Linked DNA regions of Macaca mulatta. The protein of the gene in region 1 purifies or fractionates together with the protein of each later gene. This does not show direct contact. Links are inferred from orthologs where the notes say so. Each region holds a gene or a part of one and is shown on either strand. Other genes may lie near its edges.

The links.
Region 2: the proteins of TXN (region 1) and COPS5 purify together in Homo sapiens (affinity purification with western blotting; 3 studies listed by BioGRID and IntAct, with this or other methods). This does not show direct contact. The link is inferred for Macaca mulatta from reciprocal best matches to the Homo sapiens genes TXN and COPS5.

What each region holds. Positions count from the first base shown.
Region 1 is NC_133420.1:48,154,135-48,158,590, forward strand, and holds the start of TXN (thioredoxin), read left to right. Parts: upstream 1-1,534; 5' UTR 1,535-1,638; coding exon 1,639-1,662; intron 1,663-4,456. UniProt on the Homo sapiens protein: Participates in various redox reactions through the reversible oxidation of its active center dithiol to a disulfide and catalyzes dithiol-disulfide exchange reactions.
Region 2 is NC_133413.1:77,753,339-77,757,582, reverse strand, and holds the start of COPS5 (COP9 signalosome complex subunit 5), read left to right. Parts: upstream 1-1,352; 5' UTR 1,353-1,485; coding exon 1,486-1,628; exon of another isoform or gene 1,629-1,636; intron 1,637-4,040; coding exon 4,041-4,244. UniProt on the Homo sapiens protein: Probable protease subunit of the COP9 signalosome complex (CSN), a complex involved in various cellular and developmental processes.

The DNA.
Region 1 (4,456 bases):
AGGCCAGGAAGCTAGGATGCAGCTGAACTGAAAACCAGCAGCAGAAAAGCAGGTTATAGATTCTGCTATGGGTGCTCCATACAGCTCCTTCCTCTCTGCCCCAATAACCTCCCTCTCTTTGGGAACGTTGCTGCATTCAGGGCAGTCTGTCTTCCCTCCCTCTAGGGCTGTCTTTAGAATGTGTCCCTTGCCTATATCCATATTCATGCTCCGTGCTCCTCAGCCCCCTAGAAACTTTGCACAATAGGTTCAAAACCTCTGGTTTCCTCCCTTCTTCTGTCTGAAAGAGCAAAAGAAGGAAGCCAGGGGTTCTAGGGGGCAGGCAGGCAGCAATTTCACCACCCCTAGGCAATCACACCTAGTTGCAGCTTCATTGGGAACAGCTCAGCTCTGAAAATACAGACCTGGGACTCTCCCTCCCAGCCTTCCGGCTCTCGTTCCTGTGAGCAGCTTTTCAACCTCCACTTTGAGCCGCTGACAGGCCTTCCTGGCGCCACAAGGTCAGCTAACATACCCACCTTCCACAATCCCCAGCCCTGCCAGACATAACCTGCAACAGGCATTCCTGGATCAATGCAAACTCCGACTTCTGTTCCAGGAGTCTGCCTCCTTTGAAAAAACTCACACAAATTTGCGTGCTGTCCCACTGTAAATGCTGTATAAGATGGCCAGGCCCAATCAGTCCCCGCAAGACACCGAATAAGAACTATCTATGGAGTGTTTACTATGTGCCAAGCACGGTCCTGATCACTTTGCAAGCACTATTAACCCTCAAAATAACACCACCGTGAGATTGAGACCATCATGATTCGCGTTCTACAGAAGGGAACACTGAGACTCTAGGAGGTCAGGACCTTTCTAGGGTCACAACTGCGTAACTAAGCTGCAGAGCTCAATCCGGCGGCACTTCCATCTCACAGGCAGCTGTCTGATGGTCAAGAGCCCAACCAGTCCCCCGGTCGTTTCTACCTCACTAAACCGCTGTGTCAAGCTGGAGCAGCGGGTTCAGCAGTGAAAATGAAAGAACAGAAGGAGGTTAGAGAAAAGAACGGTCACGGTAAATTCTGGAGAGGAGGCAAGGACGTACACACCGAGAAACTTCCTGGTCACCGTTACTCAGCACTTTGTGAGGTTCACGGGGCTGGGGATGGCCAGGGCGTGGCGGGACTTTTCGAGGAATCCAGCCCTGCCTGGGCGGTCCCAGGACTGTCCCCATCTCGAGCGTGGGCGCGTTCGATTCAGGCGCGGCGGACGCATCCCCAGGTGACCTGGGAAAGACCTTGTGTCTCTGGGGGTGACTGTCCGTCTCCCTGCCTCCCACCGTCACGCGCAGTGCTGATCCCCACTTCCAGCTGGGGCGCGAGCTAGGCTTGGAGGCGCAGGAGCCGAAGCCCTGGAGCTCCGCCCCACGCTTGCGCCAGCCCCGCCCCGATCCCGGCTCGCAGGCTCCAGGGGCGGGGCGTGGCCGGGGCGCAGCGGCGGGCGCGGAGGTCCGGGCGGGCGCGCGCGCCCCCGCCACACGCACGCCGGGCGTGCCCGTTTATAAAAGGAGAGCAAGCGGCGACTCAAGCTCGGTTTGGTGCTTTGGATCCGTTTCCATCGGTCCTTACAGCCGCTCCTCAGACCCCAGCAGCAAAGATGGTGAAGCAGATCGAGAGCAAGGTACGCGCTCCCGGGGAAGGCCGGGGCGCCGGCGCCGCGGGCGGCCTCTGTAGCTGGGGAAGGCGGTGGCGGGAGATGCGGAGGCCGCCCTTCTGCATCGCCGGGGGAAAGGGACGCGGCGTCTCGGCCTGGGACTGAGGGAAGCGGCGGCCTGGGCGCGCCCAAGGCGGTGGAGCCTGCCCTGGTGGAAGGGAAGAGAGGGACGAGGGTCCCCTGGAGGGCGGAGTGGCGGTATCCAGCGTTGCCCGCACCCTGTGCCCCGGGGGGTTGCACGCACGCGGGGAGCGCCCGGGAGATGTGAGAGCGCGGGCAGCGTGAGGAGCCCCCACGCTGCCCTTCCTGCACCATCCCGTCCGGGCAGCCCCGACTGGAGGAAGGCGAGGGAATAGAAGGGGTCCGCCCTTGGCCCCCTTCTGTATCCAGATTCAGGCCCTAGGCAAGGATAGAGAGGGCCCCTTGCAGAAGGCACGGGTCGCTGGCCGCCGCTGCCTTTCCGTATGCGAAGTGATCCACCCGCAGCGGGGGTAGTGATCTCCCTTGGGAGCTGGTCTAGGCCGGAGACCCTCAGCTGCTTCCACCCATTCCCGGCCCCAAAGGTGACGCGTGCTGTATCCGCACTAAGGAGGCGGATTGCGGCTGGAGACCCCTTGGCACGTGCAGGTCTGGCCAGGAGGCCAGAGGGCCCCAGGTGACCGCGAGGAAGTGAGGTCCGGGCCGCGCCCACGGGACTCCTGTGGCTCAGTGCGTGTTTCCGGCAGCAGTGGCTTTGGAATGACTCAGTCCCCAAGGTTGGGCCCGGGGGCCCCGGCTGCCCTGCCCGTCCGTGATTCACCCTCAGTCGGTGGGTTTTGCTGGAGCCAGGGTTCCTCCTGGGTGCAGCCGCGCCTTGCTGCCTGCTCGCCGACCTATCGGTATCCCGATCGATGTTTGTCCTTTTAAAAATGCCCAAGGCAAAACAGACTTCCCATGTTTGAAAGTTATTGCAAGCCTAAAACCTTCTAGACTGGGAAACCCAGAGCCTAACACGCAGTGTCTAATGTAGCCATTCCAGAAATATTTGTTAAATGCAGCGTCAGAAAAGTGAGTGGAGGAAATTGATACTGCCCGAACGGTAGAAGACCCCTCGCCAGCGCCTACCCTGCGATGACCCCTCCCCACCCGCGGGAAGCAGGGGAGGGCGGATCCTCGCCCGCCTTGAGTGCCCTGACCTGTTTGGTGCCGGGTGGGCTTCGGAAACAGAAGTGTGTCTGCAATGTGTCCCCGATCCTTTTGTGCCTTTGATTGTTATTGACTCAGTATTTTTTTCCTCGTATGTTGATTGCCACTGTAGTCTTTTATCTTCCTCTTAATCAGTATTTTCTTAGTGGGATTCTCATTTTAGCAGCCCTCATGTGTTGAAAAGATCCTTAGTAGTGAATTGTCTTTCATATACTTTTTTCCAAGCACCTATTGTGTGACAAATTTTAGTCCATTCCTGGGGAAGGGAGTGGGGCTGGGATTCTGTTCTCCAGGGTCTGGCAACCTCAGTATAACCGAACTGCTGAGAACCCCCCGCCACGGAGCCAGAAGACCTTTGAGTGGTCTATGTTAGTTGTCACAGTATCCAGTTACTACAAACAGAAAGTTGATTAGGATTTCTGGAGCACAGTTTAGTCCTCCCAGTTGTCAGAGCATGGTGGCACCTTCCTCTTCTACCAGTGACAAAGGTGTACAAGGGTGACAGGAACTTTAAAAAAAGCACTACAGCCTGGGGCCCACAGGCCCTGATAATCAATCCTCAAAGTAACAATCCAAAGTCATTGATCGAAAGTTACACTAATTTGATTGTTATTTGTTAGTTTGTTTTTTGAGACGGAGTTTTGCTTTTGTTGCCCTGGCTGGAGTGCAGTGGCTTGATCTTGGCCCACTGCAACCTCCACCTCCCGAGTTCAAGCGATTCTCTTGCCTCAGCCTCTTGAGTAGCTGGGATTACAGGCATGCGCCGCCACGCCCGGTAATTTTGTATTTTTAGGAGAGACGGGGTTTCACGATATTGGTCAGGTTTGTCTCGAACTCCTGACTTAAGGTGATCCACCAACCTCGGCTTCCCGAAGTGCTAGGATTACAGGTGTTAGCCACCGCGCCCAGCCTGTTATTTGTAAATGTTGAATATATCTTACGTTTTCATCCTAATGGACTAAATTGGCATCATTGGTCATTGAGAACAATTCTGTTTCTGAGGTAGTCTGTTAGTACGTTAGGGCCGACTGGGATCTATTTCAGAGAGGAATGGAATAATTGATTGTAAATGTGATGAGGAAGAAATAAACTTTAAAAAAAAGAAGAAGAAGAATGACACCTACCATTTATTCAACTCCCATCCACAAGGCACTTGGCTAAATACTTCAGAAACCACTCACACTTACTACCTTCAGAGTAGGTATGTTTAAGCAAAGAGATCTTAGACTCTGCTCCTATTTACCCCAACTACATTGTTTTGCTTCCCCCAGATTATTGGTGTCAGTGATGGAGACATTTATTAATAGTAACTGTTAGTTTCTGTGATTTCTTCTTAGTAATATACTCTTGAATAATTTTCAAGCTGATACCCGTTTGGAAGTATCAGAAGAGAGCTTGTACATGAAGCCTGCACATACCTGGGGTGTAACTCATGTTCATTTAGGCTAAAAGTTACTGTTGCATGCCTCTTTTCAGAATTTTAGGTACTTGTGTTTAAATTTGATTCAGAACTGTTTTGGAAAAGCCTTGAGTATGTTTGAAATACCTTCCCTCTTGAAAGTAATCTGAAGTTTTC
Region 2 (4,244 bases), on another chromosome or scaffold:
TTCTTTTCTTTTTTTTTTGAGACTGGCTCTGTCTCACAGGCTGGAGTGGCGCGATCTAGGATCACTGCAACTTCCGCCTCCTGGGTTCAAACGATTCTCCTGCCTCAGCCTCCTGAGTAGCTGGGTCTACAGGCGCACACCATCACGACTGGCTAATTTTTTTGTATTTTTTTAGAGACTTCACCATGTTGGCCAGGCTGGTCTCGAACTCTCGATCTCAAGTGATCCGCCCGCCTCGGCTGCCCAAAGTGCTGGGATTACAGGCGTGAGCCACTGCGCCTGGCCTGTGATGCTATCTTTTCAGGAAAGGAAAAAAAAAAAAATCTTGAACACCTATGCTAGGTGCTAGGAGATAAAACAAGGAACGCAGACCTGCTCCCTGTGTCTTGAAACTTAAAATCTTGCATGGATAGAGAAATGAGATGGAGAAAAAAGAAAACCTAAAACACGTAAACTAATTTAAAAAAATAATTGAACATTGTATTAACTGTAGGAAGAAAACAAACCAGTTGCCGAGATTAATTACGCTTTGGGAACAAATGCGGTTCACAGGAGTACCAAAGATTTAACTGTAACCTATTATAAGAACTGAGTACTGGACATTTTCAGAACAGTAATGGCACATAATTCACAGCAGTGCCAAAGATTTAACTGTAACCTATTATAAGAACGGAGTACTGGACATTTTCAGATCAGTAATGGCACATTATGCATATGTAGATGTTAATTTTTACCGACACCCAAAAAGACATGACAATAGCAATCAAGGAGTACCCACTGCCTCCTGGCATCGATAGAAAAAGCCCATCTGCAAGTTAAGTGCCAAGCCACCACGAGCCCGTTAGCTTTTACGCATGTGCAGTGAGTCATCTTGAAGTAAACTGGAATGCCATGTTTATCTTCCTCTCAACCAGCTTCCAGAACGACTTTTAGCTCAGTTGTACAACAGACGGCCTTACCCTTTAGTCTTTCAACAAACTTATCTCATTTAAGGTACCTAGACCCACACAAAAACACTTTCTGCCCTCCACATCCCACCGTTAAGGCTCCAACTACCTTTAATATGGCGGAGACCGAGCCTGCGCAGTACAAGCAGAGAAGGCAAATAACAGTTTCTGGAATAACGTTACATGCCCTTCTTCCGGTATGGAAGACTATACCATTCCCATACCCTATAATTCTGTTTGTTCTATTTCACACATACAATTTTCCGAGACAAGATGTTCTAATTTAAGTCACAAGAAGATTCGTCTCTCCCTATTCCTGTAACTGCTGCTTATATCGTCACGTCCCGGAAAGGTCCCTGTCTCTTCCCTGAATGGTCTCTACCAAGTTCACCTCCGGTTCTAGGTGTCATGGCTGCCCCGAGAGTCTAGGTAAGAGTTTGTTCCCGTGGTGCGGAGGGTCAAGGCCCACACCCGGAGACCTAGCGAGGTAAAGTTGCGTCTTGGTTGTAGAGACGACAACTTCTCCGCTTTCTCTGCAATGGCGGCGTCCGGGAGCGGTATGGCTCAGAAAACCTGGGAATTGGCCAACAATATGCAGGAAGCTCAGAGTATCGATGAAATCTACAAATACGACAAGAAACAGCAGCAAGAAATCCTGGCGGCGAAGCCCTGGACTAAGGAGTGAGGAGGTCCCTGGCGAGACGCAGGGGAGGGAAGGGTTGGCGGGAGTTTAAGAGACCCAGAGGGAGAGGGAGGTGAAAGGGGTGAAGAGCTTTCACCGACGGGGAGGGGAACAGAATATGCGCCTTGGATCTGCAAGTAGAGCCTAAGCCCTCCGCTGGGGCTTTGACTTCCCTTTCTGTCGCTTTAATCCATTTACCCCCGGATGATGTAAGGGGAGAACAACAAGCGGTGATTTAAGTTGTCACTTCTGAACGTCCGTATTGTCATATATGCCGCACACCCTGCCTTGAACCCAGTGTCGACATGCACCTTATTTGGGTCTTCAGCTATTCCCTTACTGGGGACCGCAGCTGTTTTCAGAAATCGAGTCAGCAGCTCAAGGTCTCAAAAATAGCTATGAGCTATTTTCTTTTATTTTCTTTTTTAACTAGAGGTGGGTCCTCGCTATGTCGCTCAGGCTGATCCCGAGCTCCTGCCTTCAAGCGATCCTCCCACCTTGGCCTTCCAAAATGCTGGAATTACAGGCGTGAGGCCTGGGTCTATAATAGTTTTTTGATTGCTGATAATTATTTCGGAGGCACACGGAGGCTCTACCTGGTCTCTACAATGTTACTCCATCAGTTCCTATAAGCCAGAAATTTTAAAAATAGAGCTTACGACTTTTTGCCCTTCAACAATACCCATTTTTCCCTGGGAGTGGTGACAAGTCGAGGGATCTTTACCCATAATATTTATGTTTTCCTGAGAGCATCTCCTGAGAGATTTCCTGCTCTCAGGAAAAGATAATTATTACGGGCTATGTTTGAGAGAGAGTAAAAGGAGCACAAAAGCTAATGGTTAGATAGAAATGAGAGCTGCAGTCAACAAGAGGACATACTTCTACTGCCTCACAGTTTTTTTTACAAAGCTAGCCTTGTCTCTCAGTATTCAGATTCCACAATGGTGAATTGCGGAAGCATCTAGCTAGAGATTTCCACGTCATTTAATCTTTATGACAACCCAGTACAGTATATCCATCCTTTTTTTACAAATTAAAAAACAAGCAAATACATTATGTAATTTATGATCACACTGAGATAAGTGAACTCTTAGCTGAGCAATAGTCAGACCTAAGATCAAACTTCACAGCTGTCACTAACTGGTTGACTGACCTTAGGAAATTTACTTATCCATCTTCATTTGTCATAGTATGGAAATAAGACCTACCTATTGGTATTGTCATAGAGATTAGGTGAGATAATGTATAAAAAGAGTCGTCTAGAATATATGTAATAGGAGCACAGTAACTTGTCTTTCTTCTTTTCTCCAGTAAAGGGAGAAGCCAAGATTTCGATTCATGTCTTGATTTCCAACATGAGGTCTACACATTTTTCAGCTTTTGGTTGAAATCTGGCAAAGCTTAGGAATTAAATTTGGATTCTTTCTGTGGGCAGACATCTAAAAAGGCTTTGTAGAGACGTTGACTGACTGCTCTGTAAGGCTGCTTAAGTTGCTTGGTTGTCTGCTTGTTTCTGTAGCAGGTTGTGCATTTTAGGTTTGTGTACTCTTAAATATTTGGAAACTGTCGGCCTGCTTCACTGTCTAATTGTGGCTCTAATTATATTCATCCTAGCTGTCTTGGGCTGCACTAATGAGACCAAAATGTAATTTTATTCAAGAGTTTAATTCATTGATGACCAACTCTGAAATAATGATCATAGAAGACTAGGATATTATGGCTACTTTTTAATTTGAGGCTGATATAACAGGGAAGCCCACCCTTCAACACTCTGTTCTTTGAGAGTAGGGTTAAGAGACAGGTTAATAATGCTGATAACAGCTAGCACTTATTAGGGTTCTAGTATGTGTAAGGTGCTAAGCTAAGCACTTTATATACATTATTTCATTTACTTTATCCTAATAACAATTATGACTATCCCTATTTACAGAAAAGGAAACCTAGGCATAGACATTACATGGTTGTCCCAATACCACAGCTAGGGAATGGCAATGTCAAGATTCAAACCTTAGCAGATGAATGTCAGAACCCACATTCTTAACCATTAGGCCAGAGGTTAGGCCTCAGAACAGTTAGGCACAACCATCCAAGCAGTCAGAATCCAAGATTGGGTGATTCCAGATTAATGGAGAAAAAGTCTATTGAACTGGTCATGTTACTCCCTTATTTAGCATATTAAAAAACTATTTCAGACTTTTCCCCTCCCCCAAGGGGGATGCATTGCAGGACTATAACATACTTATTGTTTCCAGCCTGCAAAAACTGTCCTTTTCTACTTTTTCTCCCCATAGTCTACACTCCCCTTCCATCGCTGTAAATTCCTTCAATACTTACTCTTTATCTTCATAAAAACTTTTCTGAAATTTTACTTTATATAAGAAATTTAATTACATTGTGATTTTGTTTTGCAGTCACCATTACTTTAAGTACTGCAAAATCTCGGCATTGGCTCTACTGAAGATGGTGATGCATGCCAGATCAGGAGGCAACTTGGAAGTGATGGGTCTGATGCTAGGAAAGGTGGATGGTGAAACCATGATCATTATGGACAGCTTTGCTTTGCCTGTGGAGGGCACTGAAACTCGAGTAAATGCTCAGGCTGCTGCATATGAATA